Linked DNA regions of Mus musculus. The protein of the gene in region 3 interacts with the protein of the main gene of each other region in a biochemical or structural test. Links are inferred from orthologs where the notes say so. Each region holds a gene or a part of one and is shown on either strand. Other genes may lie near its edges. The genes, in order: Pkmyt1, Cdca5 and Cdk1.

The links.
Region 1: of the proteins of Cdk1 (region 3) and Pkmyt1, one has a biochemical effect on the other in vitro, tested with the Homo sapiens proteins (2 studies listed by BioGRID and IntAct). The link is inferred for Mus musculus from reciprocal best matches to the Homo sapiens genes CDK1 and PKMYT1.
Region 2: of the proteins of Cdk1 (region 3) and Cdca5, one has a biochemical effect on the other in vitro, tested with the Homo sapiens proteins (2 studies listed by BioGRID). The link is inferred for Mus musculus from reciprocal best matches to the Homo sapiens genes CDK1 and CDCA5.

The regions. Positions count from the first base shown.
Region 1 is NC_000083.6:23,732,746-23,736,392, forward strand, and holds part of Pkmyt1 (membrane-associated tyrosine- and threonine-specific cdc2-inhibitory kinase), read left to right. Parts: coding exon 1-79; intron 80-187; exon of another isoform or gene 188-1,077; coding exon 1,078-1,571; intron 1,572-2,220; coding exon 2,221-2,327; intron 2,328-2,454; coding exon 2,455-2,627; intron 2,628-2,817; coding exon 2,818-2,975; intron 2,976-3,440; exon of another isoform or gene 3,441-3,578; coding exon 3,579-3,647. UniProt on the Homo sapiens protein: Acts as a negative regulator of entry into mitosis (G2 to M transition) by phosphorylation of the CDK1 kinase specifically when CDK1 is complexed to cyclins. Mediates phosphorylation of CDK1 predominantly on 'Thr-14'. Also involved in Golgi fragmentation.
Region 2 is NC_000085.6:6,083,679-6,087,425, reverse strand, and holds the start of Cdca5 (sororin), read right to left. Parts: upstream 2,330-3,747; 5' UTR 2,264-2,329; coding exon 2,218-2,263; intron 2,029-2,217; coding exon 1,937-2,028; intron 1,025-1,936; coding exon 959-1,024; intron 875-958; coding exon 839-874; intron 1-838. Other genes in the region: Zfpl1 (zinc finger protein-like 1), read left to right, coding at 2,973-3,074, 3,366-3,477. UniProt on the Homo sapiens protein: Regulator of sister chromatid cohesion in mitosis stabilizing cohesin complex association with chromatin. May antagonize the action of WAPL which stimulates cohesin dissociation from chromatin.
Region 3 is NC_000076.6:69,350,732-69,354,478, reverse strand, and holds the start of Cdk1 (cyclin-dependent kinase 1), read left to right. Parts: upstream 1-1,566; 5' UTR 1,567-1,643; intron 1,644-3,747. UniProt on the Homo sapiens protein: Plays a key role in the control of the eukaryotic cell cycle by modulating the centrosome cycle as well as mitotic onset; promotes G2-M transition via association with multiple interphase cyclins.

The DNA.
Region 1 (3,647 bases), on a different chromosome or scaffold from region 3:
CCGGCCCGAGTCCTTCTTTCAGCAGAACTTCCAGAGGCTCAGCCGCCTGGGTCATGGCTCATATGGAGAAGTCTTCAAGGTAAATGGAGGGTGGTTTCCCAGGCTTCGCAGGAGCCTCTTTGCCTTGGGTTCCCTACTTGAGTGGAATAGTGTCCTAGGCACCCTGCAGCCCTTTCTTCTCTGACAGCCTTCCTCTCTAGGACTGAACAACCACTCTCCATCCCAAGATCAAGTACCTTCAAGAGCTACCTCATGCACACTGGCCTCTTGTCCAGGCCTAGCACAGCCCACAGCAGTTCTCTGCTTTCTGCCTGGAGATGGCTGTGCTGGCGCGTCCATGGCTGGGTCTGTCTGACCTGGAGCTAATCCCACACCATATTCCCTAGGCTAGCAGGTTCAAAAGCTGTTCCTCTCCTTGGCTCATCATCATCTTCTTTTCTATTTTTTTAAAGATTCACACACACACACACACATACAGAGAGAGAGGGAGAGGGGGAGGGGGAGAGAGAGAAAAAAGACAGAGAGAGAGAGAAAGAAACTGTCTTCAGAAACACCAGAAGAGGGCATTGGATCCTAATACCAATTGAATGGTGGGAATTGAACTCATGACCTCTGTAAGAACAGTCAGTGCTCTTAACCACTGAACCATCTCTCCAGCCCATCATTTTCTTTAATATGGTTTTAATTTTCCAATTACATTTCTCCTAAAATAGTAGCTTTCCTTTATGCAAGCATTATTGAAAAGCAATTTTATTTAAAATGCAAGCGGCACAGACCCTTTTCCTCTGTAGAGGAAAGCCTGGACACAGCAGAGACACTGTCCGTGGTTTGGGGGACTACCATTTCCTCTTAGCACTGGACCCTGGTCATAGCACATAGGTCTACCCCACCTCCTCTGTTGCTGGGTCTCTGATGCACCGTTGTGCAGTGGACATGCATGTGTCCAGTTAGTTATCATTGCACGCAGAGGTCTAAGGCTGACATGGATTCCCCTACGTTGTGAAATCAGGACAGCATTCTTTGATTGCCCCATCCCCTGCCCCCACATCCTGCTTCTGGGCAACACCTCCCTTCCAGGTGCGCTCTAAGGAAGATGGGCGACTCTATGCTGTTAAGCGCTACATGTCGCCATTCCGCGGCCCCAAAGACCGAACTCGTAAACTGGCTGAGGTAGGTGGCCATGAGAAAGTGGGGCAGCATCCACACTGCGTGAGACTGGAGCGGGCCTGGGAGGAGGGTGGCATCCTATACCTGCAGACAGAACTCTGCGGGCCCAGCCTGCAGCAACACTGTGAAGCCTGGGGGGCCAGCCTGCCAGAGGCCCAGGTCTGGGGCTACTTGCGGGACATTCTTCTGGCTCTGGACCATCTACATAGTCAAGGCCTAGTTCACCTTGATGTCAAGCCTGCCAACATCTTCTTGGGCCCCCGGGGCCGCTGCAAGCTGGGCGACTTTGGACTACTGGTGGAGCTGGGTTCAGCCGGTGCTGGCGAGGCCCAGGAGGGAGATCCTCGCTACATGGCCCCAGAACTGCTGCAGGGCTCTTATGGGACAGCAGCAGATGTGTTCAGGTGAGGCCTGGGTGAGGACTGTAAGAGCCCTTTGTTGGTGGCTGATCAGCAGACAGAAAGGGACTGCCTGATAGAGGAGCTCCTTCCTGGCACAGGGTAGGAGGGCAATCCAGCCTGGGAGGTGCTGTCACTCCCTGCTAGCTGAAAGGTTTCCAGAGTAAGCAGCAAGCCTGCCAGAGGCCCTTTATACTGTAGGCTAGCCGTCTCCTTGCAGCTTCATGGCTGTGCTCCAGGACAGGGAGAGTAATGAGGTGGAGGGACTTGTTAAGTCCACAGTTAACATCTGGGACTACAGCCAGACCCAGGGTTTTGAGACCATACTGGCTACTACTACCCTGCCTCAGTGTATTCTGTTCATCTCTACAGAATGATGATGCCAACCCTAGTAACCATGGAACCATTTGCATGTCAGTGTGGTTCTGATGGGCTAGCTGCTTGAGTGTGGAGTCCATACTTCAAGGTGTCCATCTTGACTGGTGCTCACTGGCCCTCCAGGGCTCTCCTCAAAGCTCCTTACCCCTTTCTCACTAACTTTATGGTTTATGGTAGAAGAGAACGGCCCTTTCCCACCAGAATGCTGGATAGGATTGGGATGTGTGTCACAAAGCTGACTCTGCCTCTTTTTGTCTTCGCGTCCTGTCCTTCCTAGTCTGGGTCTCACCATCTTGGAAGTGGCCTGTAACATGGAACTGCCCCATGGTGGGGAGGGCTGGCAGCAGCTGCGCCAGGGATACTTGCCCCCTGAGTTCACTGCTGGTGAGTGGTTCAGAAGAAGAGCCAACTATCACCAGCTTCTGGCAAGGGGTGGTGAGTAGTAGGGGGCACCATTGGACTAAGGGCCCAGTCAGTACCCTGCCCCGACATGGCCCTGCCTCATCGGCAGGTCTGTCTTCTGAGCTGCGTTCTGTCCTCGCCATGATGCTGGAGCCTGACCCCCAGCTTCGAGCCACAGCTGAGGCCCTGTTGGCCTTACCCATGCTGAGGCAGCCACGTCCCTGGAATGTTCTGTGGTATATGGCTGCGGAAGCCCTAAGTCGAGGCTGGGCCCTGTGGCAGGTAAGCCTTTATGGTGCTGGGCTACCCTACCCGTTCCTTGCCCAGGTGACCTTCCTGGCCTCCTGAGGCTCACTTCTGAACTTACTGTATAGATTACTGTTGTCCTTGAACTCATCATATTCCTACCTCAGCCTCCCAAGTGCTGTGATTCATCACAAGGCTTGGTTTCTGAGGCTCATTCTTTCTTTAGGCCCTGGTCACTCTGCTCTGCTGGCTCTGGCACGGGCTGGTGCATCCTGCCAGTTGGCTGCAGCCTCCAGGCCCACCGGCCACACCACCTGGCTCTCCACCTTGCAGCCCCCTCCTGGACAGCACCCTCTCCAGCAGCTGGGATAATGACAGCATAGGGTGGGTGGTGTGTGTGTACATCATTGTGGTCAATGCGAGGGGTCTCGGGGCCCCTGTCACACTCAGGGGACAAAGACTGCCAGTGTAGAGGTAGATGGTGGTCTGTGTAGGCAGCTGTGACATTCAGTGCACAACTGCAGTCCCCACCTCTGTAGAGGCTGTCCCTGTTCAGAGATAAAGTGCTGTCTTCCACTGAGTGGACACCTCCCAGCACCTGGTAAGTCCCTGTCCTGAGAGGATTCCCTTGCTCCCAGGTGTCTGCTAGCCAAGGGAAAGAGTGTATAATTAAGAAACGGCTGCAAGGAGGAACCTTATGCTCTCAGGATGCCTCCCATTATAGAAATATCCCCTCACTCTGACGGCTCGTTCTAAATGCTAGAGAAGCTTCATTTACCAAAACTCCACACCCAGCTCAGTTGGACCTGAAAAGGGACAGAGTTAACCCATGAATGTGGTCAGGCGGGAGAACTTGTCAGCTGCCAGTGTTTATTTCAAGTGTGCCTTGTCCCTTCACCAAGCAGAGGCCTGAAACAAGGAGGAGCAGGGCTGTTTATATCCTACTTTGCCCAACCGTCACCACCCTGCTTGTCCTCTTTCTTGTAGTCCCTCACTCTCCCCAGAGACCGTCCTGTCCCGGATCACTAGAAGAACCTCTACCCCTCGGGGCAGGTA
Region 2 (3,747 bases), on a different chromosome or scaffold from region 3:
AAAGAGATCCACTTGCCTCTGCCTTCTGAGTGCTGGAATTAAAGGTGTGCACCAGCACCCAGCACCTTTTACACTGCGTATGCATGTGTCCGGAAGAGGGCGTTGGATACTCTCAAACTGAAGCTGTAGGTGTGTAGGGTCCATCTGATGGAATCTGAAAACTGCTTTTACCCAGAACCATCTTTCCAGCCCCTACACATAACTCATTCTATAACCATAAAACAAACAAACAAACAAACAAAACATAAATAAACACTCAGCAAAACAACCTTATCACTCTGTGGACCAGGCTGGCCTAAAACTCCGAGATCCGCCTGCCTCTGCCTCCCAAATCTTGCGACTAAAGGCGTGCGCCATCACAACATCACAACAAAACAGTGGCAAAACAGTCTACAGAAGCCCAGTGGTTAAACCATAACTTTTTAAGAAAAATAGTGAGAATGTTCAGAGCATAAAGAACTAGAAATGAGGGGTTGGGGTTGGGGATTTAGCTCAGTGGTTTTCAGCTCTGGGGAACAAAACAAAACAAAACAAAAAAACCCAAAAAAAAAAAGAAATGAATGACACCCATAGGCAGGAAACAAGACTGGTAACTACAGTCAGTCCTGGTAGCATGCCCATCTCTAAGATTTGAATCTATCTGCAGAGACTGGTGCAGGTGGATCTCTATGAATTTGAGGCCAGTCTGGTCTACCGTAACTTCCAGTTCAGGAAACAGTGTTATACACTGAGACCTAAACTGACAAGCCATGAAGCAGTTGCCTGGGTAGAAGTGTATGCCTACCCTCTAAGGGTAAATCCTACACAAATAAACAGAAATAAACAGAACTGAACTCACCCTAGGACTTCTTCGAACCGTGTGGACATCTGGGACCTGTAGGGATGACATCAACTGATCAATCAATAGCTAAGCCCAGTTTTGACATCTCACTCCCAAAGCCTTCTCTCAGCCCCTCACCTCTACTGCATGAGCTACGATCTTCTTCAAGACGATGGCCTTTCTGACTGGGACCGCTGGAGTTGTCTGGGGGGGGTAAAAGAAAGTATTATCCATGAGCTTTACAATAGTTCAAAGCCCTCTAGGTCAGTGTAAAAGTACTTTGGGAGCCGGGCAGTGGTGGTGCACGCCTTTAATCCCAGCACTTGGGAGGCAGAGGAAGGTGGATCTTTGAGTTCGAAGCCGGCCAGGTCTACTAAGTAAGTGAGTTCCAGGACAGCCAGGGCTATACAGAGAAACGTTGTCTCGAGGAAAAAAAAAAAAAGTACTTTGGGGGTGTTGCTGAGAAAAGTTTTCCTTATCTTCTATCCAAGACTTCTCAGCCTCTAAGCCTGGTTCTAAGTTTGTAAGTTCTTGCACCATGTTGGGCACCAACTGTGGAAGCATTGGGCGGGAGTTTTTTGACTCCCTTGCTCCCAAATAACTGCAGGGCATTTCTTCCCCCCAACGCCACTACCTCCTGAGTAAAGGACACAGAGCTGTTATTCAAAGGCTGCTGGCACTATGTTGGGCAGGTTCTGAGCTACTCTAACCCTCTCAGGCTGCCTATCTACCAGTCACACGGTCCTCTACCTGAATCTCAGTCTTACTCTGACTCAATCTGGTCCATGTGTGCCCTCATGACTGCTCTCTCCCTCCTCTTGACCTTAGAGTGAAACCACCTGCTCTCTCCGCGCCTCCCCCTCTCCCACTTCTCTCTCCCTAGACTCTTCCGGACGCCTCAATGGGCGCTGATGTCCCGCCTCCTCTGTCCTCTCCTGCCCAGCCATAGGCTGATCAGCTCTTTATCAACCAATCAGAGATGATTTAAAAAAAAAAAAACAACAGTGAGCCCGGAGGTGCTAGTTAGCCGGACTAAGGATACCTAGGCATAGAAATTAGCATCTGAATACGCAGCGCACAAACCCAACCCCAACACCTGGGGGACCAGGAACTCACCCTCGGCCAGATTTCAGAGAACGAGTTCGGGAGATCTGAGCCAGATTTCCGCTTGGACGACTTCGAAGGCTTAGTAAGTGAAGTCCTGGGCCCTGGAAAGGAAAACACGTTTGATGGTGAGCAAAACTTTGCTCGAAGAAAAGGCGACAAACAAACGAAACAAGATGCTTGACGAGTTCGGAAAAGCAAAAGTCGTTTTCCAACTACCCCTTTGGGGCGTCTTCCACCGGGAGCCAAGTTTTGTTCCCCAAACAACCCCGCTCCACTGCTCCCGTGCTCACCAGACCGCTGGGCAGCCCCTCCTGATCGTGTTCGCCGCTCCGCCATGTGTACGGTCGGGCTCAGTCTCCGCCGCGGTCGCCTACTCAGGCTCGCGCCAACCGGGAACTTTGCTGCTTCAAACGTTCAAATTGCCCGCCTTGCTAGCGAGAAAGCGGAAGTGACACAGGCCGGAGGCGGACCATCCGCTTTTGTTGTCACAGGCTTTACGTCTAGCTAGCAAAAGGCAGAGGCGTATCCTGCGGCGCTGTGGCGTCATCAGCGTGCGCCGCACCCGGAAGAGACGTGGCAGCGGAGGGATAATCAGGCCGGACCTGAAGGGAGCGGAGCTGCAGCTACCGGAGTTGGTGAGCTCAGTCCCCGGCCTTCCGCGCTTTTCATTACCGTACGCACCGGTCACGATCGGCATCGCGGAGGTTCGCGGACATCCAGAATGTGGTCGGCCAGCTGGGGGCGGGTCAAGAGGGGGTGGGTCTTGGGGGCGGGGCTGGTGGTATTGGAGCTGTGCAGAGATCTGGCGAGGGCCTTCCTGGGTCTTGATGGAATGAAGGGTCGGTCGTTTGTGGTACGATCTGTACAGGAGACGTGGCTTTACCCATGCTAAGGCATTATGCTAGAATTTGGTGTTGGGACTGGTGTGAGACGGGACTGAGAGATTTAAAAGAAGAGAACTGGGTTGGTGAAAACAAACTGGCAGCCACCAAAACCTGGCTTCCTGCTAACTGATTTCACCCCACCACACCCTCCAGGATCGGTCATGGGACTTTGCAAGTGCCCCAAGAGGAAGGTGACGAACCTGTTCTGCTTCGAACACCGAGTTAACGTCTGCGAGCACTGCCTAGTAGCCAATCACGCCAAGGTGGGGCGTTTAGAGCAGTGTCTGAGCAGGGCGGGTGGGTGGGCAGACAAGATTGCCTACTTCTAAATCCATGTGGGGACCTATGCTAGACTGTAAGCTCCACAAGGGCAAGAACATGGGGTGTGATGCGCTCTGCTATGCCTTCAGTAGCTGCTCAATAAATGGTCACTCAATAAATGGAACAGATGAAATGATGAGTCTGATGAGAGAAAACGAGGCATTTGAGCCTTGGAGTGGTGTGTGCATCGTGGAGCCTGGGGCACCAGTTGTGACATCTCTCTCCCACTCCAGTGCATCGTGCAGTCCTACTTGCAGTGGCTACAAGATAGTGACTACAACCCCAATTGCCGCCTGTGCAACACACCCCTGGCCAGTCGGGAGACCACCCGTCTTGTTTGCTATGGTGAGGCCTGGGAAGGGGTCAGGGCAGCCCCAGGATCCAGCTTGGATACAGGTTTGATAGCATCTTTCAAGAAGCAAGACAGTGAGTCCCTCAAGCGTGGAGGTCAGAGCCTCAGATCCTGATTCCTTTAGGTACCGTCCTGTTTTATAAAGCCTCAGCAAGCCTTTTCTCTTCGTAGGCCTTAGAATCTTCCCTGAAAGTTAGAGCTTCTCCTTCCTGCTCTGCCAGTCTGGGAGAGCTAGAGATGACTATGAGCTGTGGCTGGGAGAA
Region 3 (3,747 bases):
TTGCTGGGAATTGAACTCAGGACCTCTAGGAAGAGCAGACAGTGCTCTTAACCTCTGAGCCATCTCTTCAGCCCAATATTTAACATTCTTATGTGGAGATATGTCAAAACATTTAGTGTGTTATCATTGTATACATAATGAATACATAAGTGTATAATCACAGAAACAGGCTGGCATTTTTTCTTTTCAGTTTTGAGGGTGTCTTTCAGTGTTTCATTGGTTCCTATCCTCTTGTCTTCTTAAGGTACTTTAAATGTGATCCTTCTGCTGGCTGCTAAAAACTCATTGAAAAAAACATAATCTGCAGGAACACGGGAGAGCTGGAAAATACATCAAGTTACCTGACACAGACATAGAGAGACAGACACTTCATGTTCTTTCTCATAGGCGGATCCTAGCATGTAATGTTCATATGTTAGTGTGTATATAAGGTTCCAACTAGAAAGGAAAGGCTGCCCGAGTGGGGGGGGGGATTAGAGTCATGGACATGGTGATAGGACACAGAGGGCTATGGGCTTGGGGGCGTGCAGTTACGAGGTGCGGGGACTAGGGTTACTGGGAGAAGGGATGAGAAGAATTAACACAGACCAATATTGTCTGAAAATTCCATAGTGAAACTTAATATTATATATATACATATATTAAAGGTGTGTGCCACAATCCTCAGATATATATATATATATATATGTATATATATATATACACACACATATATACACACACACACACATATATATACACACATACATATGTAAACTAATATATTATATATTAATATTATATATTATTTATATTATCCCAGCTTAATATAGAATTTTGAAAGGCATAATCATAAAGTAATTTTAAATGTTAGCAATAGCCAGGTGGTGGTGGCAGCACACGCCTTTAACCCCAGTACTCTGGAGGCAGAGGCAGGAGGATCTCTGTGAGTTCAAGGCCAGCCTGGTCTACAGAGCAAGTTCTAGGTCAGTCAAAATTACACCCAGAAACCTTGTCTCAAAACAAAACAAAATAAAAGTAAGAAACTCTTTTTTTTTTTTTTTTTTTTTTTTGGTTTTTCGAGACAGGGTTTCTCTGTATGTGTAGCCCTGGCTGTCCTGGAACTCACTCTGTAGACCAGGCTGGCCTCGAACTCAGAAATTTGCCCTGCCTTTGCCTCCCGAAAGCTGAGACTAAAGGTGTGTGCTACCACGCCCAGCTAATAACAAGCTCTTGATGTAGTGGTACTGTCACTTTGGTGGCTGGCTATCTAAATTCAATGCATTTGAATTGTGTTAGTCTTGGAGGGAAATTACACACAGAAAGGTAGCTGGAGAAAAAAGAGAATAGATTAGACTGTCCAGAAACAACAGGACGATATTGGAAGGAAAACAGAGCTCAAGAGTCAGTTGGCGCCCGCCCTCCTGCAATTCCTCTGGCCGCGGTTTCCGCTCCCTTTCGCGCTCTGCGCTCCCAGGCAGCCCCGCCCAAGCGTAGCTCAGCTCTGATTGGCTCCTTTGAACGTCTACGTGCAATCGGATTGGCGGATCCCGGGAGCTTTACCGCGGCGAGTTTGAAACTGCTGGCACTCGGCCTCTAAGCTCCTGGAGTTGCTGCGTCCGCGCAGTCCGGAACTGCGGTGTGGCCCCAGCCGGGACAGAGAGGTATGGCGTGAGTCGGACTGGGTGCAGGCTGGGCCTGCGGGGGCTCCACGGGATCTGGGGGTTCCCCCGGGGAAGGGCAGGACATCCATGTGAGCCTGGGGATCCCTTGTGGACGGGTAGGGCCTCCACGTGAGATCTTGGTCTCCTGTGGACGGGTAGGGCCTCACCTAAGTCCGGGATCCCTTATGGTCGGGCATGGCCTCCCTGAGCCCGGGGTCTGGGGTACCCTATGGATGAGCATGTCCTCATCTGAGGCCAGGGTCCCCTATGCAGGAGCATGGCCTACCTGAGCCTGGGGACACTATGGAGGAGCAGGGCTCACCGGAGCCTGGGATCCCTATGGGGGGGGGGGGCAGGGCTCACCCGATCCAGCGGTCCCTTATGGAAGGGCAAGGCTCACTTGAGCCCCGGGTCCTGCGGACGTGCAGGCCCCTACGCGAGCTCCAGGTTCCTGCAGACTGGATGGGCCTCGCTGGAGTGGGCCCGGGTGTGGGCGGGGTGCCAAGTTATGTCCCAGGCCCTGTTGGCTGCCAGTGTGGAGCTGGGCTGCACCAGGCCAGCTGCCTTCGGAGGCCTTAAGTCGGTACTGCCGGAGAAACAGACCCGTGGTCGTTTAAAAAGCTTATTCCTACCAAGGTGCAGAACCAAGAAAGTGTAGGATCGTTTATTTTTAGTTGCCTGTGCTAAGGCCACAGACTGTACCCAGGCAAAGAAGGAGAGAGAGGGAGAACCGCGGATGCCTTCGCGTCCTTGATCGTCTTAAAACATAAATACCGATGAAGGTTCTGATGTGCGGGCCACCATCGCCTGCCCCCAACTTGGATACACTGGGCAGCTTTTAACAGCAGGCCCGGGAGACTGGAAAATGTTGGAAGGAAATAAGCCCAGCTTTCAAGACATGTTAACTCTTTGCTGTCTGTGCAGAGGTGGTTGAAACGTTTAATGCTCTATAGTTATATTAAGTCTCTGTATTGAAGAAAGGGGGTTGGGGGGGGATGCGTTGAAATTTCCTAAACATAATCTCCATAGTTGAGAGTCAATCTTATGTGTCTGAGAATCCCCAGGGTTCAGTGGGATGCCTGGCAGGACCCTTGGACGGGTTTACATTTTCCTTCTGAATTTTTATCTGTTGAGCCGCTGCCTCCTTGTGCAGTGCCAAGAGCTGGGATTCCTGGCTGTGCCCCCACACCCCATGGAGTTGATTTTACTGTGGAAAGAGATCTGTAAGGAACAGCTCACGAGAGGTCAGCCATTCCTTGATGCTCATTCATAAGGATCTTGTCACCCGTGGCAGAGGGCTTTCAAGGAGAAGGCACACCTTTTTCCTACCATTCTTTGTGAGCCAAGAAATTGTTTCTCCCTTGTTCGTGATATTTTTCAAAGCATGATTAGCAAACACACTGTCTTAGCGTTGTTGGGATGAAACACCATGACCAAAGCAAAGGAACTTGGGAAGGAAAGGGTTTAGTTGTCTTGTACTTCCACGTCACAGTTCGGCCTCAGAGGAAGTCTGGACAGGAACCTGGAGGCAGGAGGCCATGGAGGGGGCTGCTTCCTGCCTTCTTTCACATAGCTTGCTCAGCCTGCTTTAAGAACACAGGACCCTATATGCCCACGGATGACCCCACCCACAACGGGCTGAGCCCGCCCCCATCAATCTCTAATTAAGAAACTGACCTAAAGACTTGCCTCCAGCCCCATCCTATGGGAGCATTTTCTTAACTGAGGTTCTCTCCTCTCAAGATGACTTCAGCTTGTGACAATGTGACCTGGCCTAAAGCTAGCCAGCACAGCACAACACCTTCCATTCTTTCTTCTAAGGTGCTTATGGACATTTCTTTCTCTTTGAGTACCTTGAGTGGGATTGTCTGTGGCTGCTTTTGGGAAGCATTCAATTGAATGATTTTTGTTTTTTGTTTATTTCCCCCGAGACAGGGTTTCTCTGTGTAGCCCTGGCTGTCCTGGAACTCACTTTGTAGACCTCGAACTCAGAAATCCGCCTGCCTCTGCCTCCCAAGTGCTGGGATTAATGGCATGTGCCACCACTGCCTGGAGAATTGAATGCTTATAAGGTAAACAGATGCTTTTATTAAAAACAACAACA